Linked DNA regions of Alligator mississippiensis. The protein of the gene in region 3 purifies or fractionates together with the protein of the main gene of each other region. This does not show direct contact. Links are inferred from orthologs where the notes say so. Each region holds a gene or a part of one and is shown on either strand. Other genes may lie near its edges.

What was found.
Region 1: the proteins of IGF2BP3 (region 3) and HNRNPA2B1 purify together in Homo sapiens (affinity purification with mass spectrometry; 4 studies listed by BioGRID and IntAct, with this or other methods). This does not show direct contact. The link is inferred for Alligator mississippiensis from reciprocal best matches to the Homo sapiens genes IGF2BP3 and HNRNPA2B1.
Region 2: the proteins of IGF2BP3 (region 3) and G3BP2 purify together in Homo sapiens (affinity purification with mass spectrometry; 3 studies listed by BioGRID and IntAct, with this or other methods). This does not show direct contact. The link is inferred for Alligator mississippiensis from reciprocal best matches to the Homo sapiens genes IGF2BP3 and G3BP2.

The regions. Positions count from the first base shown.
Region 1 is NC_081828.1:156,758,466-156,768,534, reverse strand, and holds the start of HNRNPA2B1 (heterogeneous nuclear ribonucleoproteins A2/B1), read right to left. Parts: upstream 6,086-10,069; 5' UTR 6,030-6,085; coding exon 5,985-6,029; intron 2,052-5,984; coding exon 1,941-2,051; intron 1,348-1,940; coding exon 1,201-1,347; intron 344-1,200; coding exon 133-343; intron 1-132. Other genes in the region: CBX3 (chromobox protein homolog 3), read left to right, coding at 7,514-7,579. UniProt on the Homo sapiens protein: Heterogeneous nuclear ribonucleoprotein (hnRNP) that associates with nascent pre-mRNAs, packaging them into hnRNP particles.
Region 2 is NC_081825.1:164,553,117-164,563,185, forward strand, and holds the start of G3BP2 (ras GTPase-activating protein-binding protein 2), read left to right. Parts: upstream 1-4,587; 5' UTR 4,588-4,670; coding exon 4,671-4,688; intron 4,689-4,697; exon of another isoform or gene 4,698-4,893; intron 4,894-10,069.
Region 3 is NC_081828.1:158,690,732-158,700,800, reverse strand, and holds the start of IGF2BP3 (insulin-like growth factor 2 mRNA-binding protein 3), read right to left. Parts: upstream 6,468-10,069; 5' UTR 5,919-6,467; coding exon 5,744-5,918; intron 4,798-5,743; coding exon 4,737-4,797; intron 1-4,736. UniProt on the Homo sapiens protein: RNA-binding factor that may recruit target transcripts to cytoplasmic protein-RNA complexes (mRNPs). This transcript 'caging' into mRNPs allows mRNA transport and transient storage.

The DNA.
Region 1 (10,069 bases), about 1.9 Mb from region 3:
CTGAAGGCCTGAACTAACACTTTGATCCCACCAACCTTTATACACGGAAGTATGATGAAACCCGAACTTACATAAATATTTACTGCAAAAGCACCATTAGCTGTGATATAGTTATAATACAGCTATACTTACAAACTATTTTATCCACTGGATCATGGTCATCAAATGTAACAAAGCCAAAGCCTCTCTTTTTACCAGACTGCCTGTCAGTTATTATTTCAATAGTGTCAATTTTTCCATACTCCTCAAAGTAGTCTCTAAGGTGGTGTTCCTCAGTATCTTCCTTAATTCCACCAACAAAAAGTTTTTTCACAGTAACATGGGCACCAGGTTTTCCAGATTCCTAGAAAGTATTACAAGTTTTTTTAAATTAATAAAATGGAAGAGGAAATTGTGCACATGTACATTTTACAAATGTTTGGAAGTCAATTTAAAGTCTGATTAATTTTAAAAAGTGAATACCAATATTTTAAGTATCTCACCCCTCATCTGCAATATTACTGCCAGGGTTAGGGATTTTTTTTGTTTTGTTTTTATTTTTAAAATGCTTGTAATCCCTCCATTTGCTATGTGAAAAATCTAAAGAGACATGACAAACTTAGAAAAAAAAGAGATATTTTTACCCTAACATTTTTTTTTAAATCAATCTTAGGTTTTACTTGTAAAGATATTGATGATTAAGTTTTTCAAACGAAAGTATGCTTTTTAAATAGACTGCATTCTTTATTTTCAGACCATGGTTTTCACATTCTACATATCACCTAAGATTATTAGAATCTGACCTGTACTGACTTTAAGGAAGCCATGATCCCACTCTTTTTCAGATTTGGCAAAACATGAAGTTCCCCAAAATATACTTCTCTGTTCAGAGACGGAGTCAGCACTGGGGATATATCTGATTTGTAAACCCTCACTATAGGAGCATTCACTTAACTTGAAATGGCTCCTGTCAAGCAAGTCTTTAATTCATGTTAATAAAAATCAACAACTACACCTGCACATAGTACTTTAAGAAGTTTAAAGCAGTGTTAACAAGTAAAAATTTAAGAAGCGGGTCACATTTCCTCTAGACTCAACCATAGCCTTTCAACTACAAGAAATTTAGGAGTTTACTATGCTTAAATTTAAAAATAAGTATACCCTAACCAAAATGTTAATACAGACTTCCACATAACCAAAAGCTGCCAAGATTCTGCTTACCTCTCTGGCCACGGCTCGCTTAGGTTCAACCACCCTTCCATCAATTGTATGAGGCCTGGCAGCCATTGCTGCATCAACTTCAGCCATGGAGGAGAACGTTACAAAACCAAATCCCCTTGATCGTTTACTGGCTGGATCTCTCATCACCTATTAAAGACGGTTAATTTTTTTTATTTTTCCACTAACAAGTTTTTGTATAACTTGTGATAGTAACATGTCTTTTCTAATTTATATTTTTCTTGATTTATATAAAAAACGTGTTATATCATTTTGCACTACAAACACTTTGAAACAGTAAATTTTCATAATAAAGAGCAATTACTATCAATGGCTCATTCACATACTTAAGATGTACATCACCAATTTTTTTTTAAAGTTTTTTTTTAAAGTTTTTTTAAGTTTTTTAAAGATCTTATCCCACTTGCTTCCATTTGCCCTCATTAAAATAAATTAAAGGAATATGTTATCAATTAAACAGAACCTAATTAAACAGGACTTATTACACTTCAACATACATAATACACAGTTAAGAGGCAGTACTGATGCCAAGTGTCAGCTGCATGGATTAAGTAAGCACTGACCACAAAACATGTACCTGCAGGAAGGATAAAGCTGAAATATTTAACCTAACTCTCAAAAATAAGTCTACAGTTCTTGAAATTTGGTCAGGAGATGGCATACCATTTTTACAAAATCTTTAAGCCCGTATTATTCACCTGTTACTAATACATAAAACTTACCACACAGTCTGTAAGCTTTCCCCATTGTTCGTAGTAGTTTCTCAGACTTTCTTCTGTTGTTTCAAAGCTTAAGCCACCAATGAACAGTTTGCGAAACTGTTCCTTTTCCCTCTATTTTGGAGAACAAGATAACATTCATGTCATTTCAAGTTTTCCTTACAGTATAGTTAAACTAAACTAGTATTGTAAGACTAAATCATCTCAAACTAATTCAGAACTTTCAATGAACATGCTTTTTCAACTTTAGGCTGTGTTTTATTTTGTGTTTTTTAAAATACCATACTGCTTATTTGATCTTTCAAGTTTTGTCTCCTCTGGAATGAGTTCACCTTCACAATTAACTTTCTAAGATTTATCAACTTCCCTATACCTCCCAAAATTAGTTTAACTAATTTTGAGTTCTTATACAAGAGGCTCCCTTAACTGTCCTTCCTACAATATTTTTTTATTTTTGAAAAACAGTATGCAAGATTCAAATAAGCAGAATGTTTATTTTGCCAGATCAGATTAAAACAAGTCTGTGCTGAATGTTCCAACACACATTTTAATTAAAAAGTAATAGATAAGACATGTCTCCAAACACAACTACAAGCCGTTAAGCTATTTCTTTTATCAATTCATTTAAAAGTAGTATCAAGCTAGCACTTATGGATAGGGACCTACTCAAATCGCAGAATCACTGGGGGACACAGGGACTTACTAAAAAAAATGCTGGCAACCCTGCCTTGCAACCCATGGCTACTGGGAGAGGGGGGAGAACTGGGAGGCCCAGTAACAAAAAGGGGCAGCCAAGCTAGCAGTGATTGGCTGAGAGGGCTGCGTTGCATGTGGCCCTCCCTACCCTTCTCCACCAACCAGCAGTGAGGGGGTGGGGCCCCTTGGCCAATCAGGGGCTTCAGGGAGCCCACTCCGCAGAGACCATGTAAATGGCAGTCAGCACCATGAAATCACCTGTCCTGCCACCTACATTTTGGAAAGTCCCTACTTATGGAATGTACCTGAAGGGCTAATCCAGCACTAATAAAATGGTGCAAGTTCTCCCCTACCTATTCTCTCCAACCCTAAAAAAAATTAAAAAAATAAAAAAGAACTAGTCTAAAGAGAGACTTGCCAATTTTGTCTATAAATGTGTTTGTAACCTGCTTTAAAATGATTATCACTTCAACTTATTTTCCAATAAACTATTCAGACTAATAAAAGCTTTTTGATGCTGCCTAGGCAGGATTTCAACTAGTGTGAGACATGGAAGAAGGACCACTGAAAGCAATGCCAAAACAGCTTTTGATAATGACTTCAAACCAAGACTATAATTTCAGATTGCAGAAATTGCACTGTTCATTTTTCTAAGTTACAGCCTTACCCTGTACTTCTTTAGAACTGTCTGCAGAGCCTGAGTTGTGTAGTACTCAGACTTTTTGAAAAAACTGAATCATGTATTGCAAACATGGGCCCCAATAAACCCCTAGAAAACTATTTAGAAAAAATGAATACTGCATCTGCCAACAGTGTAATAACAGCATCACATACATCTTCTACTATGCTTTTTAATCAAGATTCAAACAGTTTAATAGAACATCAGCATCATTTTCTGCATTTGAAAAGTTGGAAAATTAGCCCAAGAAGCCAAGTGCATTAACCACTGGGAAAAAAAAGCCTAAAGGCCTAATTCTAACAGTCAACTAGAATACCTGCACTATTACAACATAAAATAATTGCAAACACGTAGATTTTAATGAATTTTTCACCAACCACCCTTTCACATTACAAAACTTTAAATGGAACTGAAGAAAGGAAGAGGACAATTTAAAGCAAGTACTAATAAAACTTAGATCAAATCACTATCATTTGGCATGCCAACAGACTAATTCTATAGGTATTTTATGTTACTGTAACAAAAAAACAAAAAAACAAAACCAGAGCAATTTCAACTCTGTAACCAATACCTACTAGAAAAAGTTAGGCATTAAGTCACTTAAAAAAGTGAAATGAATAAAATTACACTACTGGTTCTCAAACAAGCCTGTGGATCATTGGTGGTGCAGGACACTTGGTAAGGTTTGCTTGTAGGCTACAACTTCCTTACAAGACAACTACAAATAAATTTACTTTCTCCAATATAAGCAATTGCCATATGGGAATAATACAACTAGGAAAGGAGGGTTGGAGCATGTAGCCCCACATGGCCTAAGGCAGTGCCCCCCAACCTTTTTGCCCCACAGCACATTTACCTGAATAAAAAAAGCACAAACAGCACACTGGATGGGGACAGGGGAAGCTGTGTGCAGCCAGCCGGATGGCATTTTGGGCTGGAGCCATGCTCCCCGTGTCCACAGCATCAGTGGGCAGGGGGTGTGGCTCCACACCCATGTGCCACGGTTGGGAAATGCTGATCTAAGGGAGTGATTTTCAACCACAGTACGTGGCCTCGTGGCATGCCTTGACATCCTTTCAAGGGTACTATACAATGTTAGCACTGTTAGGTTTCCAAACATAAGTCACAAGATACACCCAGAGATTTCAAATAGAAATCCATAGTTGTGGTGTCTCCAAATTCTTTACAACAAATAAAACTGCTCTATTTTTCAGTAACCAAAAAAGTAGTGAATATTACTACTTTTAAAAATAGAGCTGACATTTTTTGAGGCGTTCCATGAGTCTGTCCAAGAGCGCTTTTGGTTTACCTTGGGGTATCTTGAATCTAAAAAGGATGAGAACCACTAGTCTAAGAAATGTGAGGAGCAAGAGTTTTGGTGATGTCTTTTACTGGACCAACTATATAATGGGGGGAGGGAGGAGAGAGAAGGGGAATGTAAGACAAGCTTTCAGGCAGCCATTGGGATTACCAAGGGAAAAGACTACTATAATTAATCTCCATATTAAATGATGGTTCACATTACTGTTTAATATATCATTGCATGCATGCGTGCGTATACACATGCATTTAAGTGAAGTCTCAGGCAAGCAGTCGGCCTCGTGTAGGATATGAACTCTGATGACAACGTACAATTAGAGGGAGATAGGTAGGCAAGTCATTCTGAAGTCAAGCAGAAACGCAGGGTAGACTAACCAAATCAGAAATGCACATGCTCACATCACTTCATGAGGTAAGCTCAGGCTCATGGAAGTTTGTGCATCTCTAATTTAGTTAGCCTACAAATGATCTTTGTTACTCAGCCTTATGCTTAAGTGTGTTACTTCTTGTTCCTCTGAGGATTTACCTTTACTGGACAGCCACCAAATATGTTGCATGCATTGGGATGTTTAACACATTCATTACAATGTTTTTGCCTTAGCAAAGACAGAGCCTTAGGACTAAGACTATTTCCCCTGAGTTTTAGGGAGTGTGAATGTTAGCTTACAAGTCAGAATTAAACCAACCCACTATACTGAAAACTGCAGTTTTACACTTGGCAAAGCAAAATGTCTGCACCTCACTTTTACCTGCTTGCTGATGAAATCTGGATGGGGGGGGGGGAGAGGAAGGAAACTGTTTCAAAATGCCAAAAGAAAAGCCGGTTGAGCATCTGTATCCTGTGCAAGGGAAGAGCTTATCAAGTTACTGGGAGCCTCCTTGTTCTGCCCTAGTACACTAAGATAAAACAAATTCGTCTCAACTGCTGCAAGAGCAAAGCCACCAAAAAATGGCGGCTAGAAATTTGAGGGGCGGGGGAGAAGATTCCGCATCCCGGCGCTGAACGCCCGCCAAAACGGCGCGCGGTCGGGAGCTGCGGCGCAGAGGCCGCTCCGAGCAATGCGCGGCTGCGCGGGCAGAGCCGGCGCCTCCTGCCCCTGCGCCGGAGCGCGCTGCCTCCAGGGCCCGAGCACATCGCGCTCCAGGTGGCAGCCATGTGGCAGCGCCGGGAGCCGGGGCCGCTCGGCTGCGGAGAAGGAAAATGGCGCCCACAAGCCGCCGCCTGCCGGGGAAGCGATGCGGCAGGAGAAAAGCCTCCCTCGAGAAGCCGCGCGCCGCCCTCCGGGGCCCGGCTGCACCCGCAGCCGGCTGAGGAAACCGCAGCCCCCCTCCCCCCCAACGCCGCCTCTCACCAGCTTGGCCGCGGCGCTGCCCTGGCTCACGGCCCGCCTCCCCATCCTGGCGCGGAGCCGCTAGCCCTCCTCACACACGAGCCTATCTGCGCGCCGCCATTTTCTCCCTCCGCCTCGTTACCGCCATTAAAAGCCGGGGCACCGCGGCCGGCAGTCGCCAGGGGCACGCGGGCCCTCCCCCCGCTGTCGTTCGGTTCAACGGTCCCGGCAATCGACCCGCCCCTCCCCCGCCTCCCTCCCCCCGCGCCAGCCCCAACCGCCTTCGGCGCTTCCAGAACTTTCCTCCTCTAACTGTCGCTCAGGCCCGGGCCGGCTCTAGCGACCCACGGGGGGGGGGGGGAAGGAGGGGATGTGGGGGTGCCGCGACCCCTTCCCCCCGGCCGAGCCCCGCGCGCCGCCAGGCACGTACCATATTCTTCATGGTGCGGGCGGCCCCGGGTGCGAGCGCACGCGACAGGCCCAGTAATGGCTGCCTCAGCCGTTACGCAATTTGAAATTCGGGTTCGCGGTCAACCTGTTTTCACCTCACGCCAGCCTGCCCTGCCCTGCCCTGCCCAAAGCGCGCGGCTCCCGAGAGGGGGGAAGAGACTGGGCCGTGGCACCGAGCTCCCCTTTGTGTTTTACTGTCCGCAGAAAAGGAAGGAAAAAAAAACATCGGCTCCGGGAGCAATGGCCGCCTCCGGAATGAGCCGAAGCGTCCGTCGTCGTCGAGCTCTTCTGCTTCGGCGCCTGACGGAAAAAGTCGAAACGGCGGCGGCCGCTGGGCCGAGGAAGTTCGGCTCTTTCCGGAAGGAGCGAGTCCGGGACCCGGCAAGCTCACGCTCCGCTTCGGCCATTTCCGGAAAGGGAATCGTGAGGCGCCGCGTGGCCGACCGGAGCCGAAGCGCCTCGGCTCAGCTCGGCGGAGGCTGCTCCCTCTTCCAGCTTTCTGGGAAGGGCCGAAGCCGCTCGGGGACAAACCCTCGCGGCCCACTCCTCGGTTCCCGGGCCCGGCCCTTCCCAGTCCGCCCGCCTCAGGGCGAACCACTAAGAGCGGATTTCTTCCCTCAGTGCTCCCGCCCTGCGCCATTCTCCTAGCCCGGTTCCTTCGCCCTGTGCTGCCCGGCCCAGCCCCGCTCCCTCCCGGCCGTGGCTGCGGGAGCCGCCGCCGCCATGTTGCGTCCCCGCTGGCGACTCACCCAGTCGCTCTCCCGGTCCCCGCGAGGCATCTTCTTCCGCCTGGGCGCGCGGCGAGGTTGGGTCCCCGGCGCTGCGCTAGGCTCCCGTGGGAGAGACGTCTTGGCCCGCTGCTACGCTGGCGACCGCGCGGCACTTGGGGGGAGGGGAAGGCGGCAGCTCCGGCGCGCGCGGCGGCGGCGGCAGCAGCAGCGATATCCTGCGCTGTGGCCCCGTCGCCGGCGCAGCAGCAGCGGCGGTGGCAACTCCCCTCACGCAGGCACGCAGCGCCCCGCCCCGCTCCGCTCGTGGCCCCGCCCCGCTCGCGCCCGGCCTCCCGCCTGCTCGCCCTCCCGCCCTCCCTCCTGCCGCGGATGCCGCTGCGCTCAGTGCGCGCAGGGAGCGAGGAGGCGACGGGGACGCCGCGGAGCCGCCGTGAAGTCTGTATCCTTCTCCCTTCCTCTCGTTCTCGTCCCCCGCTCCGCCGCTCTCGGCGCCGCTGCAGCCCCCACGGGGCGCGGGCAGGAGCGGCCGAGGAGGGGCCCCGGCGGGGGAGCCGCAGGGCACGGGGCGGCCGTGTGCGGCAGACAAAGCGCGCTGGCCGGCGCCGGGGCCCGCGCTGCGGCCGGGGAGGGGATGGGGGACGTGGCGATGCCCGCGGGCCCGGAGGAGGCCGCCGCCGGGGAGCTTCGGCCTTGCGTGAGGCCGCCCCGGGGCGCCCGCTCGCCCGGGACCCACCCAGCGCAGGCCCGTGGCGCAGCCCCGCCCCCCCCCTCCCGGGCCTCGGCAACGGGCCTTTGTTCCCCCTCCCCTCCTCTGCTTGGGCGGGCCGGGCCGGGCTGTGCCGCGCGGGGCCAGGGCCCGGGATCCTCGCGCTGCCTGGGCTCCCGGGGCGGCGGGGCTGAGTCGAAGGGGATTTTCTGGCCTTCTCTGGAGCTTTATCCATCGCCTTTTTCAGTGAAATCGGGGCCGTTTTAGAATTTCGGGGTGGGGGGGGTCCCTGAAGAAGTGGCCAGGCTGAGGCCCAACATGGAGGACGAGGGGGGAGGGGAGGTGGGGGATGGCCTGGGTGCAGTCAAACAATACATTTATCTTTAGGCTTAAATATTTCACTCCTCCATAGGCCCTGTCAGCATCCCAGTCCTAATGCTTGCAAACTTCAAGATCAGGTGGCAGCCTTGGGGTTGGATGTGTCTTGACTGTTATATAGAAGGATCCCGGGGGACTCTGGCTACTTGTTTCACTATTGCAGAACTGCTGCCAGCAAAAAATCTCTCTTTTGCAACTTGCAAATGCTTGCAGTTATGTCTTCTGGTTAACTGCTCCAATCTGAGTTCTTATGATTCTGGGTTCAAGCATATAAGGCATCCTGGTGGTCCTCAGCTTCCTCTGAAACATCCCTGTGCCTCAGAACGTCCTGTAAAAAGGACATTTTTTAACCACGGGTGCAAGTGCAGGTTTTATGTCACTAGTTTCACCATGTGGTCTTGGGTTACACCAGACAAAGTAACAACCTAGTTTTGTTCTGGATGAATCCACACTTGAATGTCATATACAGTGAACACATGGGGGTTGGAAAAAGGACCATGCTTGTATTGAGATGCCTTTCTCTGAGTAATGTAAACTTCCTTTTAATTGTCATGCATTTTTCTAGTAAAAGCTCTGCAAGTCTGCAATAAAAATGGCCTCCAATAAAACTACATTGGTAAGTTCATGCACACCTAAAATATTTAAGGATTTAACCAACATATTTTTTTTTCAAAATTATAACTTGGCATCTCTATGTAAAAGATACATCCACATCTCCCCTCCCCAGCATTATTCTGACTAAAATCTCAGATCCAGAAAGTAAGGCTATGAGAAAGGACATTGACTTTGGCTTTAAAAATCTGCCATCTAATGAGATGCATTCAATTTTTTTTAAAGGAGGGCTCTACTCCATTTCAGCTGTCCAGTTGTCAACTAGAATAATAGTTAACCATTACCAGAAAACACTGAATTTTTTTAGCCTCCTTTCATCACACCATATCATCCATTGCACATAAAAATAGCACTTAATGTTTCACTAGGAGTTTAGAACAAACTGCTGAAATCAAGCAATTTCTGAAATTAAATACCAATACAGAAAGGTAAGGTGATGGGGTATAGCTAGGGTTGCCACTGAAATTGTTTAATTGAACAACAAATTTGCGTTTCATAACTGTAGAGGTTACCAAATGTCTACTTCACCTGGACAGTTTTCATGGTGGAATCGTTTGTCAAATGATGGACCACAAACTTGGAATTTAGGGCAGGCGGATGTCTCAGTAGTTCTGATGTCCACTCAACAAATGACAGGACATGTTTGCAAAGGACAGAAGTGCATAAGCCTAGTGTTAAATATACCCAATAAGGGAAAAAAAATGGACAAACAAATCTGTGTGCTTTGGAAAAGGAACAATTTTGTCTGTTGTGGGAAAAAAATGCCATTAAGCTTGTTACTGTGCAGTTGACTATATTTTAGGTAAACTTTTAAATGTTTGCATTATCTTTTAAGTGCTGTGGTTTACTTACTCTAAGGAGTATTGCAACCAGATTCCAGTCAATAATGCTTACAAATACTTAATCAAGCTAAAGTTCTACATTTTCAAGTAGATACCAGTTCCCCAAGTCCCTAACTTCAATAATGTGGTGGTAGATCTAAACACTCATAGGAGGGGAAAGAGACCCTTTTTTCCTGACACTTGTATATAGCTAACCTCCCTATTACAATATTACCTCAATGTTATAATCTTTCACTTTTATAAAATGAAAAGGTGAGTGATTATATACTGAAGAAGGTACGTGTCTCTTCTGTGAATTTTGAATATGAAAAAGTGCAAGTTCGCTTTATTTGAATATGCTCAGGTTTTGGTGTAAAATGATGGGACCTAGAAGAAGAGGTCAGATAG
Region 2 (10,069 bases), on a different chromosome or scaffold from region 3:
CTCCCCTACCTTTCACCTCCACAGGGTAACTGCACGGCAGTGGGGGCTGAGGCTTTCCCGCACCCCATACTCACCATCCAACCCCAGCAAGGTGTAGTTTCAGGTCATGGCCCAGGACCAGGAACCTCCTCCATCCCCATAGTTCCTACTCTTCTCCTCCAAGTGTTCTGGGAGCAGCAGATCTCAAGCTGGGCAATGTTACCCCAACAACACCCCTGCAGCAACTGCTAGCCCTGCTCCTCTTATACTGAGGCTGCTCCACCCTACTCCAATCAGGCAGCCTCCTGGCTGTCATGTGACTGCCTGGTTGTGTCTGCTCACACCTACAGGCCTTCTCACAGACTGTGCAAGCCCTTAAAGTGGCAGGCACCAAAGCTGCTCTGCCACATCAGGCTACATAAGCGTGGTACTTAATGTCTGTCCTCATTTTTGCAGTTGCCTCCAAATGAAGTGTTGGCTTTTCCATACATTTTTGTTATGATTTTTAAGTGAAGTTACCCCAATAAACACTGACCATCTGTGCTCTTGCTTCTTCCCCTGACAGCCATCGGAAAGCTTGTCAAGAAATGTGTCTCTGTATGTTTTCTCAAAGCCTGGAGTGAGGTGCGGATGAAACAGCCCCTTTCAGCCCTTCTGACTTTAAGCCAGCTCCAACTTCTTGGTTTTGATAGATCTGTTTCGAAATGGCAGTTGTCCGCTTCAGTTTTACATGGTTCATTTCATCTGAAAAAACAGCAGTTGCTTATGCTGTTATCTGTGTTTCTTGGATTCTCTGCCACAGTGAACTGACTAGCTGTGACACATAGAGGTGGGAATGGGGCAGAGCAGCATAAAAATAAAAGACAACTAAATGCCAGAGAAAGGGGTAAGGAAGGCAAACAAACAGATTGAAATGTAGGAGAAAATCATTTCTTGTGTAAAATATGGGTGGAGTCTAACAGGTTCAGAGAGGTATGAGGTTTCATACCCAAGAGCCTACTTCATCAGATGCTATGAAAGGACACTTAGATTTATTCTCTTGTATAGCTTCTGTATAGCTCTTGTATAGCTCTTGTATAGCTTCTGACCAAACAGGTTGTTGCACATGAAAGCTCATGCCTCCCTGAACCAGTTACTCTCTAAGGCAACCTTCTACCTGACTTCAGACTAACAGTTAAATGCTTCTCTTGCATCAGACATGGAAACAATAAAAAAGCCTCAAGACAAACCAGTTGCGGCAAAGTATTGTAGCTCCTATCAGATGGGGACAGAATTTTTATTGAGCTTACCTCTCAGGGTGGCATTTCAATGATGTTGTCTTTCTGTAGCCCTGACTGAACGCCTTCATACAGTGTAGGTCATCAGGTTAGATCACGCTGACACACTTTACCTGAGGTGACCATGGAAACCATAGAGAAACTTCAAACCTCATACCTGCCTTTCGAAAAAGAAAGGCTGATAGGAAGACATTATGCTCTTCTACAGTGGCAATGCATAGGGGTGCATGGGGGTGCACGGGCACCCCCTGAGAGTGCCGGTGCACCCCCTGACCGGCCACACTCGCTGATGACTCTAAAACTCATGCTAAACTTGGGCCTACTCACAAAAGTTAAAATACAGAATAATAATGCTAACTGCATATTGCAGGAGGATGTGAGTTCATGGCTAGGCCAGCTGAGAAGGAATAATGAAGTATCTCTTCCAGCTTATCTTCCTATATTCAGGATGATTTCAGGCAGACTTAGTTGTCTGGTGTGTAACTATATGAAATGTCTATCCTTGATTAATTAGTATGGTAAATATTTCTTTTGCAACTAACTCGTGTTTATGTGCAGGAAGAGACATTCTCCATATGTGATAGATGTCTCCTCCTGATTTAGTATGTTTTTCCTGGCTGTTAATCAGTTTCTTGATATGTTCCAAACTGGATAACCTCTTGTAACTGAAGAAGGTAATTCATTCAGATTAGAAATTTCTGATAACCAGTAATAAGCAGGTTTTTCCTGTCAATTACTGCTTGGGACTCTCTCTTGATTTACACGACTAAAAGAATACTTTGAAGATGCTAAACTAAGGGTATAAAAAGGCAGTAAAACAGCAAACAGCACGTGCGCTCCGAGAGTGAGAAATCTACTTGCTTGAGAAGTTGTAGAGAAACAGACTGCCTCCTTCTCGCACGTTTGGCGAGAAATCATCACGTTATAGCTAATTATGGGACTCTGATTTGGTTTGGGCTCACTTGACTTGATTTTAAATACTTGTAGTAAATAAAGCCTTTCTGTCACTCATCAAACGTGGTGTCGTGTCAATCCCTAGTTTGGGCTAGTTCGGAATCCTAGATTTTTCTGTGCTAAAACTCGCTGCTTAGGCAACGGGCAGGGAGTTCTGGCAGCCCCCCTGCAAGCGCTGGCTGGGGATCAGAGTGCCACTGCGCTCCCGGAAGCAGCTGCAACCACTCCCGGAAGCGGCCACAGCCACTTCCACAAGCAGCTGCAGCGATCAGCTGTCTTGTGATGGGCCACAGGGGGATCCCCCCTGCCCCTCTGGCTGGCAGGATTGGCCATGGGGGACCCCCTCCCCCCAGTTGCTGACTGGTCGCTGGAGGGGCATGTGCCACCCCTGACTTAGGCGGCACCAGTTGCCCATGCTCTTCTAGTTTGCTTTTGGATGGATTCCAACATCATGGTACTAATCTTTATCAAAGAAGGATTCAGGTGCCTTCAAACTAAAAAGAGTGTGTGTAATTTACCGTGTTCTTTGGCTGGACGTTTATGCTTCTCAACACGACTGGCTGTTTTGGCACCCTTTTGGGAGGACAGCTTGGCGTGCCATTTCTAGCCTACAAGGGTACTGAACGTTCTCTTCTGCCCCGACTTGATATTTCAAATTCTAGTAAGGGAGGGTGGTCTCGTACCCTTTAACATTGGCCCTCAGCCAGACCTGCTGCCATCCCTTGGGGCTGCGCCTCTCCTACACCTCACCTAGTGCTAACCCAACATTGAAGCTCCTTGTCCAATAGGTTGAGGCAAACAGCCTTCTGAAGCGTTTCTAGCTGTAAAACTCAAAACAAAACAGAGTGTCCCAAAACAAAACTATAAATGAGCAGTCCTTCTGCAACAGTAAAGCATATTATGCCTTTGTCCATGATGTCCCCATTCCGTGGGGTAGTAAAGGGGCTGAAAAAACAGTTACTATGGCTCAGTGCCCCATTTACTCATGATTCTAATGTTCTCTTATGCTTTCTCTTTTAGGCTCCTTGTCATCCCAGATCCAGTCGTCTAGTCTTGTCTGCCAGGCCAGCACTTCAAGAAAGTTCTCTGGCTTCTCCAAGCCAGCATTTGATAGGGCTTCCACCAATCGCCCCTGCTGGGGCATGCTGTGCCTGCGCTTCTTTCTCTCCCGCCCCAGGAAGTCACTTCCAATTCCCCTGGGGTTTTCCTCCAGGCTGTTCTTGTCTCCCAGCTCAGGTTTCACCCACTCAATCGGCATCGGCATACGCTCATAAAGTGTGCCCATGCTGGTTCATCTGGTGAAAATTTGACCCCTCATTGCATGAGGTACCAAATACAGGCAAACCCCACTTAGTGCTCTTAATTACTTCCCAAAAAAACCAGTGTTAAGCAAAAGGAGCATTAAGTGAAACCTAAAGTATTTGAGAATCCAAGGTGGTGACTGCAAGTGTTTTTAATGACCTAAGATGGTGACTGCGAGCATTACAGCGAAACTTGCTGAGCGCTAAGTGAAATCAGGTATCAATTTAAAATGAGCATTCTAGCACTAAGTGAAACAGCATTCAGCAGGCTTTGCCTTTAACAATGTTTCAAAATGTAGTGTCTTTTATAACTTGTCTTGGCTGAACTCCTAGCCTGTGGCTGTTTTCAGAATGGGAAGGGGGGAAAGGGAGCAGGCATCAGTCAGGGTTTTTTTCAGCCCCCACACCCAAGGCCAGGCAGGTATATTAAAACCCCAGCTACGCAGAGGCTCCAATTCACCCACCCCACTATTCAGCGGGGCCTGGGGAGCCCCTGGAAGGAGCTCCTTCCCTGCCTTTCCCCCCTCCCATTCTGAAACCAGTAAGCACGGGCAGAGAGCCTGGCTGTTGCTATGGGAACCTGGCTGCGACTCCCCCAGCTAGATTCTTCTCCCCCTGGAACCAACAACAGCGCACTTCTGTCTGGTCGGGGTAACGCTGTAACTGAGCGCTTTGCAGAACAGGCTCAAATTACAGCTGGGAGCTGCACCTCTGTCTGAACCCCAAGGTGCTTATGCCCGATTTCAGCTAACAGCCGCCGTTGGGTAGTTGTAAACCACTGTCTGAGCAGGGTGTAGCTCCTAAACGAGCCTGAGCGTCTCCGGAGCGAGACCCCAAACCAGCCACAGCCCCGCGAACGCGCTCGCGGAGAAGAACCCGCAGGGCGGGGGGGAAGACTTTTTACTGGGCACCCGGGGGCTCTAGCCACCCGCTGTCGCTGGTTGGCTTATTTCCCCGTCCAACAAGCAGTCGCCAAGGCCTATTGGCCGGCAGGGTCCCGCCCCCCGCCGTGGCTCGAGGCGGCCCGCGCGCGCGACCCGCGTCTCACGTCACGCGAGCGGAAGCCGGTGGCCGCCGTTGAGGTTCGGCGGGAAGTGAGCGCTCCGCCGACGTCACAATGAGGGCGGCGTGGATTGGGCAAAGGCGGTGACGGGGGCTCATGCCCTGGCAGACAAGGGTGAGACAATAAGGGAGACGCGCCGAGCGGCCACACGCCAGCCCGCCTGCAGCCCGCGCCGCGCCCCTCCCCCCGCTGACGTCGCCGCCCGGCTCTGCCCGCGCGCCGCGGCCCGGCCCGGCCCGGCCCGGCCCGGCCCCGCTGGCACAGACCCGCCCGCCGGCGGCTCCGGGGAACGCCCGCCCCGCACCGAGACCTGCGCCAGGTGAGCGCGGCCGCGCCGGGCCGGGGCCGCCCGGCGAAGCCGGCGGGCTGCGTGTACATGCCAGCGTGCGGGGGGGCACTTCCGGCTAACGGACGGGGCGGGGCTCGCGCCGCTTTTGTTCCCAGTCCCTCGCGGCCGGGTCTAACCGGCCCTTGTTCCCGCGCCCAGCGGCTTCCAGGTCTCCCTTCCCTTCTTCTTCGGTTTGGGCGCAGGCGCCCACGGCCCCGGGAGTGGCGGCAGCAGCCCCAAGCCCGGTGCCATGGGCGCCCGCTCCTAAACCGGGCCGGGGAAGGAGATGTTGGCGTTGGGCCGGGCTGAGGCCCCCCCACCCACTCCCCGGCCTGGGCCTGCCTTGTGCCCACCCGCAGGCCCAGCTGCCCTTGGTGGAGGACCCTGTCCCGTTCCCCGCCCCCCACCCAGTCTGGAGGAGCTTCCTGGCAGCTCAGCTCCTTGCATAGCTTTATTCCCCTTAAGTTGCCCGGAGCAGGAAGGAGGCCCCTGTGGTTCCAGGCTGCTAGGCAAGGACCCACCCCTTGCCCCAGGCCAAGCTGGCAGCTGGTTAGTCTTTTTCCTTCTTGCTCTCAGTCCCACTTCAAATCTTGGGCTTGGTTCTGAGCGGCTCCTAACGGGCAAGTGACAAACTGGAGGACTTGGGGAGGAGAGTGAAATTCCAGGGGACTGCTGCTCCTGCCTTGAGGGCAAAAATGTGTTCAATGTGGTGGCTGTATAAAGACTCTGAAGTACAAAGGGGATGGGCTTGGGGGGGGGGGGGGACAGGAAGGTGTAAACATCTCAGGGAAGGATTATGTTGCAAGAAAGGAAACACATTGGTTGATATGGAGGAGAAAAAGTGAATGGAATCACTAAGAAAGTATTTGGCATGCAGATAAGATGTGGGTAGAGATTGGCTGATACAGTGAAATTTATGAGCCGAGTCCAGAGAGTGCAGCCCAAGAGCAGTTCCAGAATCGTCTTTCCATTGCATTGACAGGCTCATTTTTTTTCAGCAGGGCTTTCCCTGCAAACCTGAGTGGTGCAGTCTTCCACCTGGGTTTGAACCTTTCTTTTAGGGTACATGCATTGAGCCCTGCCAATAATATGTGGCTATGTCTAGGCTGCAGTTAGAAAGATCTTAGCTAGCTTTAATGTAGCCAGCTTGGGTATTAGATGTCTAGCCTCAGCAGCATGGAGCTCTGTTACAGGGTAAATCAGCACTTGCTGAGATTCATGCTGTTCTGGCCAGACTGTTATCAGTATCTGAATTAGGTTGAGTGTATATCTTTAGCTATATTGCAGTCACTTTTTTAACTGTAGTCTAGAAAAGCCCTTTATTTCTAACAGCAAAACTTAGGGGGTAGGCAAAAATTTTCTGCCAGGGTCTTTATCATTGTAAGGATGATTGTTATGGAGGAGAGCTGCCATTCTCTCTCTCTCTGCTTTGCTGAGCAGCTACTGTAATGAGATTGGGAATTCTGACTCCAGTATTGTGTAAGGCCTTAAAATTGGTGTCCTCTGTGTATTACTCCAAATGTCCTGTAGTATTGACATTGGTGGATACAGATTCTCCCTAGCAACCCAGTACAAGTTCAGAAGCTGTCAGCTTCCTGATATTTTCCTTCAGTGAATTTTCTATTGATTTATTTATCCTCTATCAGTCCTCGGGTATAAAACCTTTGTGTGTACCCGGATGAAGTTCCAGTTATTTATGAAATATCACGTACTTTTATATGAGGTCTTGTGACAGTTAAAATGCAGTTCCTTGATTAGGAGGTGGTTAAACTTTTGTGCTCTCTGCATCATATCTGAATCCCATTAAAAAAGAAAGGAATTGCCAGTTCCATAAACATGAAAATATATGCAGTCCCATTGACTTAGGTTGGGACTGCTTATGTGTGTCTTTGAGACCTAGTCAATTTGTGTCTTTAGTGATTCCCACTAAAGGTCTCATGTCCAACAGATGTGCAGATTTATCAAACTGCTCCTCTCTGCAACAACCAGCTAAAGTAAAGATAGGTGCTTTCAAGCTTGCTTTGGAGGGTGACCAACCTCAGGCTAATTTGGATCAAGCAGTGGAAGTAAGTTCTAAAATGAAGGCCTCTTATTAGTACAGTATTCTCCAGCTCTGTCTTTAAATGAAGATCCCATTTGTTTGTTTCCTTTGCATGGTATGGAAGAGGGGGACACTACTGAGTAAACAGATCCTCAGCTAATTAGCGTCCTGGTAGTTAAAACTTAAATTGCCACTTGAAAAAAGAAAAGTGGGCAACTTGGGTAACAATATTGGGATCATGTATCCTTGACAAAGGTATGCAGCTTATTAAGTAGGCTGTCACTTACATTTTTTTTCTCAGGTAAATTCAACCTCTTTGTTCTTAAGAGTTTTGCTGACAAAACCTGCCTTAACGCCATCATTGTGCTCAGTATTTTCTTCATAGAAACAAAGGACATGATCTTCCTGTTGCCACCTTTTGCCCAAGTGTTCAGGCTCATCAGCCTCTTAATGTCTTTGTCCCAAGATGTTATGTTTTTGACTTTGAGTTGACCTTCTATGAGCCACTTTCAAAATGTTTCTCTGTATTGCAGTAATATGCTTATTGGTGGATGCTTTGTTTTACTTGGGGTATTACCTAAGGCTTAGTACCTTTGGCAATGTCTAAAATGTACAACTATTGTAGAGTGCTTAGATTAGATCACTATTTTTATTTGTTCATATAGAAGGTTTATTTGTCACTTAATAAATTTATGCTTTATGGTTTTGTAATGCCACAATTTAATAATGCAAGCACATCAACCTCATGGTGATCACCAATGTACATTACTACTGCCTCATCCCAAGTATGATATCACAATCTTCTACTTATACACAACTGGGAAAATGAGAAAGGAGGATGTAGTATTAATTTGTCTTAAAGGGAACATTTTGTGTTACGAAGAGTTAATCAAATGAGAGACTTGGATCCATTGGACACTACACGAACACAGAGGCTGCGCTGACATGCAGCCTTCTATGTCTCATGTATCAGCGTCCCTGCACTTAAAAATGGGGGCGCTTTATCTAAAGCTCATTGAGCTTCAGTTCAAGCACCCCCACTGCCATTTTTAAGCGTGGGGACATTTTAATTAAAGCAGCTCTTGGATCTACTCTAATGAAAGCGCTGTCCCCTTCCCACCCCCAGAGCACATGTAAAAATGCCCATCTGTTTTGGCTAGGAAGCGCTTAGCAAATTAGTATTGCAGTTTGGAGTTCTTAAACACAGCTCTTCACTTCATGGTTCCATGTGGACATGTATATTTTAATTTTTAATGGAATTAAAAAGTAACACGTTACAAAATTATATAGAAAAATAGTACTTGTGCTGTGTAACTTGATTCATTGTACTAGTTGAATATTGACTTCATGGCGCGCACATTGCTCAAAGATGCCAACTATTCAAATAGAACATAACACAACTGAAGCACTTGAGATTAACTTCCAGTGTAGGTGGCCTTGTCACAATATTCTAGTTTAGGGGGTTTTGCTTCATTTGGTAGAGTACTAAATTCCATTTTCATCTATTATAATAGTCTGGGTTATAAATGTGTGTGTAAAAGTCTCTCTTGGAGGGCTAGTCAACCTCAGTAGGATCTTGGTACAGATTGTGGTAGAATATGGCCACGATGTAGTAACCATGTTCAGTTAGCCCTATCACTTATTTGACCTGTACGCTTTTAGGACTGGTGCTGTTCCTGTCCTTTGTATTTTCCTTCTCAACTGCATTATTCTCTCTGATTGCACATAATCTTGTACTTGCAGTAACTTCCCTTAAAAAAAAAAAAAAAAAAAAAAAAAAAAAGGATGGGGGAAATTTGCATAGTTGGAATATTATGCCTCATGAGTCTATCGAGTTGGCTCCTGGCAGGTTGTATGTTAGTGCTCTTCTAGAATTTTTATTCCCTGCTTGTTTATATAACTATGCAACAAGTTTGGCAAACGCAGAATAAATGTTCAAGGCACTCAGCAATACTGTCATATCCTTAAGGAACACAAGTCTTCTCTGCAAAAATAAATACGTCACAACTGTAGCAGTGCCATCTAATTGTGAATTTTGTCTAGGGAAGTTGGAGATTTTACATTCGCTTGTCCCGTAGACTTGTTGGAATATGGTAATTGGCTGTGCTGGATCAAAAGTGCTGCTAAGAACATGGAAATGTTCTGTGGGCATACATGAATTTGGAATACTAGTCTTGTGATGGTCTGAGGTAAAATGGAAATCACTTCATGGATTTGTAACATACTGTGGTTGCAGTCTCATTTGTGAAATGTTGCCTCACCGTTTTGGGGTTTTTTTGCTTGTTTTTTGGTGGGTTGGGGATTGTTTTATATTGGTATCTTTTACGATAGTTCTCTTGTAAAGAAAGAACCTATGTTTTCTTTCTCTCGGTGCTCAAGTTTTTTAAATTAAATTCTCCTTTTCTGTAAAGTCAAAAGTACCACAGGACATTGAAGTGCCTTGAGGCATCAAACCCTATTAAGATGCCTTTCCAAGTGACCCTGTGATTTAGTTTCTCTGCTGGGTCATGCAGTGGTGTTGAAGTGATGTAGGCTCCCCATGTTGCCCTATGAATTTTCACTCCCTCACTTGTCTGCATAGCTAGAAATACTGTAAAGTAATACCCTTATAAATTGTTGGATTGTGGTAGCTCTTAAGACAACTTGTATTTAATGTTAATAGTTTGATTTAGCATCTTATTCTGCTTGATTATATTTGCATGTCTTTCCCAAAATCATACAAGCACATTCAAATTTTGGAGAATGGCCCCAGTAAAAAGAGATGCCATTTTTATTAGCTTGCACAGGGATATTTTATCTTAACATCCAGATGGATCAATGGAGGCAACTGCTTAAGTACAGCAGTGGTCAGAAAAAAAAGTCATTAAAGGTGGGAAAGAGAGATGGGGAACCACACTAAAATATTCTAAGGTCATTATGTTAAAGCAGTGATTCTTTGTTGCAGAGATGTGTGGCAGAAAATTTTCCAAAACAGAAAATTTTCTGGAAAAACTTCCAGTGCTTAATTTTTCCATGGGAAATTTTACATCTCTAAAAATTAATTGTTTTATAAAATTCATTAGTAATAATGAATGGATGCCAATACAGTATTAGACAAGCTTGGCAATTTCAAAGTTGTAATTAATG
Region 3 (10,069 bases):
CCATACTTTTAGTCCTTTTATTACAATTACTTAAAATTATGAACATTTGCCATTGCCTGAACAGAATTTAGGGTCTACTTCCTGAAGGAGAATATATTGGGATTTTTAGTCTAAAAAGTAATTTAATATGAGAGAAATGAATCAGACTTATTTTAAAGGGCCGCTATAAAAGAAACTTGCTGTGAAAAAGATGCATGCTAAGCAACTCGTATCTTCTCAAATCAAGTCTCCACCAACTCCGCAAACCATAATTCCTACCCACTATAACAACTTGCTGCATGCACAGGTAGCCATAACTGGCCAGATTGAGGTTTTCCACCATTCCTATTAATAAACTTGCTTAGAGTTTTCTGTTCCTATCTGAATAAAACCTGACAGAGAAGCAGGACTGCTAGGCAGAACTTTTGACTCCTAATTCTTGCAACAGATTCTCACTCAAGTATGAGCCATATTACATATTCAGTCACAAAGAGAGCATGAATATGTCCATAAAAATAGCAATGGTCTGTACTTCAATTTTACACATTTAGGTATGAGTTTACTAACATCTGCCTATTTTTCCCTTACTTTAGAGGCCCATGTTATTTCAAAACAAAATCCGGAGTACTGTCATTAACTAAAAATCTGACTGCTTAGATTACTTAGCCACCATGGGGAGCTCACACAAGCATTTTAGACAATAAGCCATTTCTCCCCAGATCCCAGACACACACATCCTATTTGTATTAAAATTAACCTAGGTATACAAGTTTTAATGCGTAACCAACAGCTTGAAATTAATCTGCATATCACTAACCAGGGGGTCTTTTTTCCACCTAAAGAAAAATTTCTCTCTCTTTCAAAACCAAACTTCACCCAAACCTCAACTAATTAAAAAACGTAGGTCCCTGTAATAAATTTATTAAGGAACAAAATGCTCCATTAAAAAGCATTCTGGCCTACCCACAATACTTTATTACTCCCCCACCCACAAAAAGAGAGGCCACACATACACACACCACTCAAAGAAGGAATTTGCTGCACCTATTTTGAAATATGAAGCAAGGCAGTCAGAGGTAGGACAGTGCCTTGCCTCCCAACTAAAACATCCCTCACAGTTAACCAGAACTCAGGCATTACACATTTCAACCTCCTAAAAAGGGAATCAGAGCAAGTTTTCTATGAAGTAAAGCAGATTTTAATTTTAGGTGAAGAAAAGTCTATTTAATTTACAAGAACCAATCTTTAAGGGCTGGCTCAACATGCCACCCCAGGTGGCTAGTGTTAGCACTACCCTCCCCCACCACTAAGCTAAACTGCCCATCACACAAGCGACATCAGTGCTGTTTGAATAATCAGATTGCAGCATGTACATTGCCCTAGTAGATACCAGCTGCTCTTGGATCACAGTAAGAGACTACCTAAAGAGTTCATCTGTAAAACATAACATGCAGATGTATTTATCACTCCTTACTGCATTTTTGTGCCTCAAGAATAGAATGAATATGAAGCGGTGATCATGACTAACAACACTGCATTCTTTTCAGAAGTATAATTAGCATTCAAAATTTTTACAATGCCTTCTCCAAGTTTTGAATTGAGTGACCTAAACCTCTAAATATTGCAACAGCCTTCCACAATTCATAAAGGTCTGAATGCAGAAATTCTACATTCCTTTCACATGCTCTTGAGATTTCAGAAGTCAGTCAAGAACCAACTTTTGGCTTATTAACTAGTTTGTACCTCCCCCACAACAGTTCTCCAAAACATGAACTAGGCCTCCCTCTTTCAATTTGTAGTCGCATGTCTTTTAATGCTTCAAGGACTGTCCTACAGCATCATCCTCTCACAGCAGGTATAAAGGTATTTTTTGCAGATGTGGGTGTGCCCACATATCCAAACCTCCCAACAAGGGTTGGAATGCAGTGACTCCTGGCCTAAGAATTTCATTTTGAATAACAAATCAAGCTCAGTTTACAATGATTGGTCTTCTGGACTCAATTCAGTTTTATAGCAGCCCTAAGTAACCACACTTTTTCACCCTCCCTACAACATAAGGATACAGAGGACCCCCACCCTTAATACATGGCCTCATTATCTGGGGATGAAGGGGGTAAAAGACTATATAAGAAAACTGTTTGTAAACATTAATATGCATATCCTGTTAAAAATGCATTTTTTTAAACTGGATTAATAAATTGAGTAGGAACTCCCCAGGCAGCAATGTGGGAGGTCAATCCAGTATGATGAATAATTTTGAAGTACTACACACATACTTCATAAGAACAGCAGCAAAAGTTACCTCATCTGACCAAACCTGTTAATAGTACACTTCTGCTAAAAGAAAGGCTTAACCAATACCCACGTAATTTTCTTTCCTGTGATATTCAGCTAAGAAAACCAAATCACACCACACCAGCAAGCTGGGCTCCATGGAAAACTGAATCTAGACTTTCTACATACCAACAAATTAGGTGGGCCTCTAATCACCACACAGAAGACTCCCCACAGAAATCTCATTACTAGCTCTATTTGCCATCAGCCTTTTAAATACATCAGGTTTTTTTTTAAAGGCATATTCCGAACACACAAAAATAAGTATCTTTCCAAGTTAGCTAACTAATTCAACATTTGAAGCCTTTACTTTTTACAAGATAGCTAGTCACTCTGGATATATAACCAGTAAGCAATGAGTGAAGGGAGGGGACATCCTAAATTGCTGAGTTGGCATAAGGGAAGTTCTGCACACTTTTGAAAGGAAAGCAACTTTTAACATAGAAGTTACTGAATTAATTTTCAACAGGCTTCTATCATGGATGGTACTTAAAAAAATACTGAATTTCTAAAATTTCAAACAGGTCCCACCTGAACTATTCCAAAAACATTCTTAACCACATTGCACTGATGAGAGATATTTATTAAATATGGCTTGCAGATTAAACAATACCAGGGGTTTACTAACTAATTATTTGGAAAAATGCAAATATAATTAAACATTGTAACCATGCAACATCTCTCAAAATGTTAACATTAAGTTCAGCATAACATTCCCTCCAGGGGACTACAGACATAAAATAAAGTATATTTTTAATAGGGTCAGCCCATAAAAATATGAGCACACACTATACCCACATGAGGAACATGTTTTTATTCTCCCCGCTGAACTCTATAAGAACAGGAAAACTATACATTTGAACACTAAACAATGATATAGAAAAGATTTTCTAAACATAATAATGTTTACTTTGGGAGCACAAAATCAATTTGTTTACAGTACTGTAAACATCAGTACACTTAATTATGTGTAGAGATTAATAAATGTCTGTTTACAATTTAATTGCCAGATTAAACTATAAAGACTGGAATGCAATTTTGAAATTGATCAATCCTTACATGTGCACTGCATTTTGATTTAAATCTAACAATATTTTAACCATACATAATACTTAAATCATTATATAGTGAAAGAGCTGAATGTATTCTATTGTAAACTGAAGTTAAACATGTCCTGCATGACAAACAATAAAGGCTACATACATGTTACTCTCCAAAGGAAAAAAAATGTCAAACTAAAAGGACTAATATGCCATACACACACATCTAAAAGATTTTGTTTCCTGCTAGCATTAGATCAACACAGTCCCACCACCATACTTTCTGAAGTTTCCCTTCAATGCTGAATAAAGATTTAACTTTTAAATTTTCAAAATCCCACGATTAGATTTCCAACAATAAAGCAACTATTACTTGCATCTTTTTAAATCAATTGATTAAAAAGATAGTATTTTCTAAATAAACGTGTACTTGTCAGACATGCCTTTTTAAGTGAAATAATTTAATCTCAGAAGTATGCCTGTCTGCGTAATGGAGGTCAGGAGCAAGCACGTGGAAAGTTTGATCTATTTTAGTATTACTCTCTAGAAACCTGGAGCCCACTACAATCTAAACATTTATGAAAGAGGCAGACTGAACTGCTATAGCCACTATAAAAGTGGTCCACTGATTTGCATTAAGAGTCTGAGTGTTGCTCCTTCACATTAGGCCCACGAAATTTCAAACTACTGAGCCCTGAAGCAATCATTTTGAAAAAAAAGAATTGTAAACACATATAAAGGATGCATATATCCTGGCTTCCCTGGGGAGACACCAGTTTCCTCCTCATGTCTGTAGATGCCAGATCAAAACATAACCAAAAAAAAAATCCCTTCTTAAATACAGATGAAGCTGATGCTACACAAGTAGCAAATACTGTGCATTCCAACATGGCAGAATCAAAGATTTGATACCAGCATATTTACAAGATGCTTTTTCTTGTTGGGAGCAAAGCTCGTGTGCTGTCCGTTATATGATTCAAAACATCCCATTCCATTTCCTGCTAACGCCCAACATTTAACTCTTCTCAGGGGCTTTACATTTAAAAATGGTAATAATCGTTTAATTTGATCACAACCCCCTCTTTCACAAAAAGCTTGCATTTTACTGCAGGCCAGTTAAAGAAGAGGCTCTGATTCTTACAATGTTCTTGATAGTAGAATGCTTTGGGGTTTTTGTCTGGTTTGGGGTTTTTTGGGAGAGGTGAGGAGCGGTGCAGCATGCATGCACATGTTTAAGCAAGCAGTTCATTTATCCACAAGGCAGGCAAACACAAACCCAAGATTTTTTGTGTTTGTTTTACACTGGGGGGATGGGGTTGGGTTTTTTTGCTCTGGTAGGCTAAGTGAGACCAAAAAGAAAAAAGAAAAGAAACAAGAAATTACCGTTGTCTCTTAGGGACTGAATGTTCAACTTCTATGAGTTTCCCATGCAGTTCCACTTTACCTGCAAAGGCAACAAAAGAAAATGGATTTTAGTGGGCCATTGGGGGTGGAGGGTCTTCCCCTTCCCCACCTCCTCCTAAACTGAATCGGTGGCACGAGAAGATACCACAGGAAATCGAGAGTGCAACATGTTAGCTCATTCACGAACAACTCCTGGAAGCAGCAGCATGGTGGCAAGCTACAACATACAGCAAGCTGGAAGGATGGACTTTTAAAGGGTTCCTGGAGCAAGAGCCTTGCCCGGAGAGACAAATGAAAGAGGCTGCTTGAGAGGGGGGTGCTGGGAGTGGGGGCCAGCCCTTTCTCAAAGGGATGTGAGAAAGGTTTGTGTGCCCATGTGTACGTGTGTGACACACACAGCTCCCCCTGAAGAGAGGATGAGGCCACTGGGGCTGAGGGAGAGGGAACAGGAGCGACTGGCAGCGGTGCAGGGGGGTGTGCAGCCGCTCGCTCCCCGCTCCGCCTCGCCTGCCCGGGCGAAAGGCCTCGGGGCGCCGTCCCCGTGGGCGGCAGGCAAGGGGCTTGCGAGGGGTCGAGGCGGCCCCACGCGCCCCGAGCGGCACCTCGCGCGGAAACGGGCCGGGCCGGGCCGGGCAGGGGGCGGCGGCCGCGGGAAGGAGCCAAAGGGAAAGCGAAATCAAGCCGAGCGCAGCGCAACGCCGCCGCGCCGCGCCGGGCCCGACCCCGACCGCGACCCTCCCGGCGCCGCTGCTTTCCCCGCCAAAGTTTCCGCGCGCCGGCTCCCTCACGGGGCACCGGCGCGGAGGCCGCCCCCCGCCCCCCCGCCGCGGGCTAGCCCGGCAGCCGCAGCGCGGAGGGAAGGAGGCGGCTGGGCCCAGGCGGCCGCGGGGGGAGGGGGGCTGCCTGTGGCGCCTCGCCCACCCCTGCCCGGGGCTCGCCGCTGCCCGCAGGCCCGGGGCCGCGTGGTGGGGAGGGGGGCGGCTCACCTGAAAGTGCCTCGATGGCCTTCATCGCCCAGCTCTCATCGGGGCAGTCCACGAAGGCGTAGCCCGCCTTGACGAGGAACGGGCCGGCGAGCGGGATCTTGGAGTCCTTAAAGAGGCTCTCGAGGTCTGGGGCGCCGACGCTCTCGCCCAGGTTGCCGATGTACAGCTTGTTCATTTTCCCGGCCGATACCCGGGCGCGGCGGCCAGTCCCGGCTCTGCTCGGGTCAGGGCTTGCTTGGGGTTTGTTGTCGTGTTGGGGTTTTTTGCGCGGGAGGGGGGGATTGCTTTTCTTTTTTTTTTTTTTTTTCGTTCTTTGCAACGAGAAATAATCACCGGGCGAGGAACCGCCACCAGCAGCAGCGCCGCCGGGGGCCGGGCCGGGCCGGGCCGGGCCGGGGGCGGGCGGGCGGGCGGGCGGGCGGCGGGGATGTGCAGTGCGATGGAGGCGAGGGAGAGAGAGCGAGCGAGCGAGGGGAGAGGGGAAAAAAGCCCGAGCTGCAGCCTCGTCCCTCCCACCCCCGCACCCCCCGGTTCCGAGCGTCTCTCTCGGGGGGTAAAAAAAAACCTCGCTGTAACCAAATCGGAGTCGCGGGGGCGGCTGGGCGCGGGCGGGTGCGCAGCCCGCCCCGGCAGCGGGATGGCGGCGCGGCGCGGCGCGGCTCGGCGAGGAGGAAGGAGCGGGGGAAACTACTTTTTTTGTCTCGCCCCCAGCCCCTCCGGGCCGCGGCGGCGGCGGGCGGGCTCTGGCGGTGTCACACGCCGCGCAGGCAGGCGCCGCCCCTCCGCCGGGGAGCCGTAGCGAGCCCCGGGGAGGAGCCGGGCCGGGCCGGGCCGGGCGGGAGAGGGAGAAAAAGGACTTGAATATTCCGGCTTTTTGAATGAGCCACGTGTTCAAACTACAAATCAGCGCCTCACGTGAGGGACCCGCGCCTCAAGCAGCGCCGCCGGAAGGCCGCCCGGGACAAGTCCGGAGCTGGCCGGCGGGGCCGGAGGTGGCCGCACCGGGCCCGACCGCGTGTCCCGGCGCCGCCGCGGCCGGGGGCTCGCCAACAATGCTGCGTTTTTAGGGCGCCCGCGCGCGCTCCCCCGGGGCGGGAGAGGGGCCGCGGGGCAGGAGGAGGAAGGGGCGAGAACACATGATAACGTCGGCGCATCACCCCCGGGTGGCGGTGACCCGTGCAGGCTGGCGCTGGGGGGGAGTTGGGGTGCGGGGACCAGGTGCCTGTTCCGGGCCGGGCCGGACCTGGGCTTCTCCGCCTGCGATTTCATGTTTGGTGGCTTTCTGGGCTCTCGCCTGCCATTGGCTGCGCGGGCAGCAGGGCTAGGGAGGCCAGGCGGGGAGGGTCTTCCCCGCCGGGAAAGAGCCCCCCCTCGTCCGGCCATGTCTCTTGACCTGGGGCCGAGCCTGGTGGGGACAAGGACAAAGGGGTGGAGGGGCAGTCGCGGGGACGAGGAAGAAGCGAGGGAGTGCTCGGGGGGGCAACGTGCTTCTGCCTGTGGCTCCTACCCGGGGGGGGATTGTGTTCTTCTTTCTTTGAGTCTAGTTTCATGGTGGATCCAAGCCGAGGACACGTGAAGAATGAGCAGCCCCGGCCCGCCTTCCCCGGGCGCACAAGCGGGAAGGCTGAGCTGGATCCCGTCCTCCGCCCCCCCGCCGGTTTATAAGGGCCCGCTCCTAATTCTCAGCGCTTGTGAGGAGCACAATGGTGGGGCTGTGGGGGGAGGGGTCTGGCTCTGTGGAGCCTTTCCCGGGCAAGCAAAATGTTGCCTGAAGATGAAGAAAGGAGACGGAAATGAAAGGCAGCACTGTATTGCATTTCATATAGCGATCTAGGAGGAGGGAGTTTGTTTTTGCCGTTTTGTTTAATGATTCAATACGCTGGAGTGAAAGGCTTCACTTATTCCGTGGCAGAGTCTTCTTGCGATCCCTTTTAATAGGTATTCCATGGAAAATAGTGAAGTCCATTAGTTAGCAATGAATGCATTTCCATATGTCCTGTATTTTATGTGGAAATGTGCAGTAAATGGGTATGCCTCAGTTTATCTGAGTGGGGGGGGGGGTTCCACCTAACTCCTACGAGCTGTATTAGTAAACAGGAGCCATTTAATTTCATTTGAAGAGATGTTGTTGATGCATGTTGACGAGTTCTTTTGTTATGTGTACTTTGGCCGCTCCAGTCTGCATGTGCGGTTACACATGGCTCAGGGAGAGCCCCGTGTAACAGGACAGAAAAAAGCCACGTGTAACAAAACGGTAGTCAAAGATTTTTAGCATAAAGTGCTGTCTGATTCAGGGAGGCGTTTCTGAATAGAAGGAGCCCTGAACCAGAGGGGAGACGGTCACCACCAATGGGGACTGTTGCATTTCAGCAATTGTGAAGAAGCATGCTCTCTTCATGAGCCTGTGCTGCTTGGCTTCATTTATCACCAAAATAAAAATGATCATTTAAATCCACTGTATAGTTTTGTCATCTTAATTCTTATTGACCTTCAGTGACAATTACTTTTGCAATTGACAAAATGTGCATTTGTGTTCCCACTGTTTACAACTCAGCCATTGTAGAAAATAAGCAAAAAGTTCCTGGGTGTAGATAGATTTTTTTTTTCCTTCATTCAACATGACCAGTTTCCACCTGCATCTGACCTTCTTAAAGGACCTTGTACTTCATATGAGCCTGTAAAATCCACCTGAAACAGAACTATTGTTGTGTTCAGTATGTGCATGAGGGGAACATGCCATCACCACGCTTGGATTCTTAGTCCAAGCTGCAGACTGCTTCAGTAGTATTACTTTGATCTGTACTAACTTGCGATTTAATTTGCATGTGCTCATGTTTACATGTGTGGTCTGTACAGCACTGTGCAGATGTTCTCTCATTAAACTGTTAAATCGAGTATATTGTGAATTTTAAGTAATCTTCTAGTTGACCATTCTGTTATGCTGTATATTTAAAGAGAGAGAGTGGGAATTCATATACAAACATGGATCAGTGGTTCAACATTAAAAAAAAATCTGAAAGTCCAATACTGGGGGAGATAACCCCAGCCACTTTATGCTGAAAGTGTCTTTGTAATGTGGCAAAGTGTCTTGTATAGAACTCCACTATATTATTTTATTTGTAATGTAAAAAGTTGTTTAACAAAATGCTTTAAAAAGTAAATCCAGAATGTTAATGTAAAACTTGGTTTACACTGTATGACAAAAGGCTATTTTTAATAGCATCTACAAATTTAATTTGTATCAATGTGGTACTCAGAAGGCTTGGGCAATCATTGTTTTGCTAGGAAACTGTTACAATTCGACATAACTGATTTTTTGGTAAGCATCTACACATTTTTATAGTTAACTAGATACTTAGCAAACCTCTTGAGGAAAAAAAACCATTGATCCAGGTTCCCAACTTTTAAAAAGAACTAGCTGTCACCTTTTTAATGTCTCTTAAAATTTCTAAAGCAAAATTTGAGCTTAATCCTCTTGGTTAAATAATTTTACCTCAAAATGAGGAAAAGATTATACCCTTATCCTGTTAACGGTTGTGATTTCCTTTGGAAAAAAAAAACTTTTTAATTTTAACTTCAAAATAAGCAAATGATACCTTTTTACTAGGTTTTAATGACCTTGCAAAAAGCCTAATCGTTTATCTAAAACTTCCCCTGCCCCCCGCCTAAAACTAATTTAACGTTAATGAATAAAACCTCTCTAAAAAGACTTTCTTCAGTTTTCTAACAAATGTTAGATTGGTAGCTGTTACATTAACCATCAACTGTAAATAACTATTCTTGTTCTGTGGTAAAGATTATTTTTAAGTGATTTAAAAAAAAAGTATTTTAAGTGAGAATTACAGTTAGGAAAATTATTTAACCTAATGGACTGGTTGATCAGTGTAAGTGATGATTAAGACGGAAAAGGAGGACGAATGTGTTTGATTATTTTTTCCCTATTACCATAAAAAAGCAACAACCAAAATATAGAAATTATAACATCTCCAGTAGGGTACAAAGGTGATATTTTGTAGGCTGCTTTGGGGCCCTGCCTCTGGTCTACTGACCTCTGAACTATTTAGAAAGAGTTCAGCTTGCAGGAGAGAAACGTGAGGGTAGGATCTAGGTCTGCCATGTCTGTATGACCTGGATGAAAAATATGCACTGCACTACTTCCAGCAATGCAACAATGAGGGGGAAGGGGTGAGTAATGCAAGGAGTTGAAAGGTCGCTGAGCAGAGCTCTTCACTGCGTTGGGGGAAAGTGGGGGGGGGGAAGAGTGCATGCAAGCAGAAGGGGAAGGAGGTGGAAATCATTAGACTGAATCTACCAGTGATATTATCA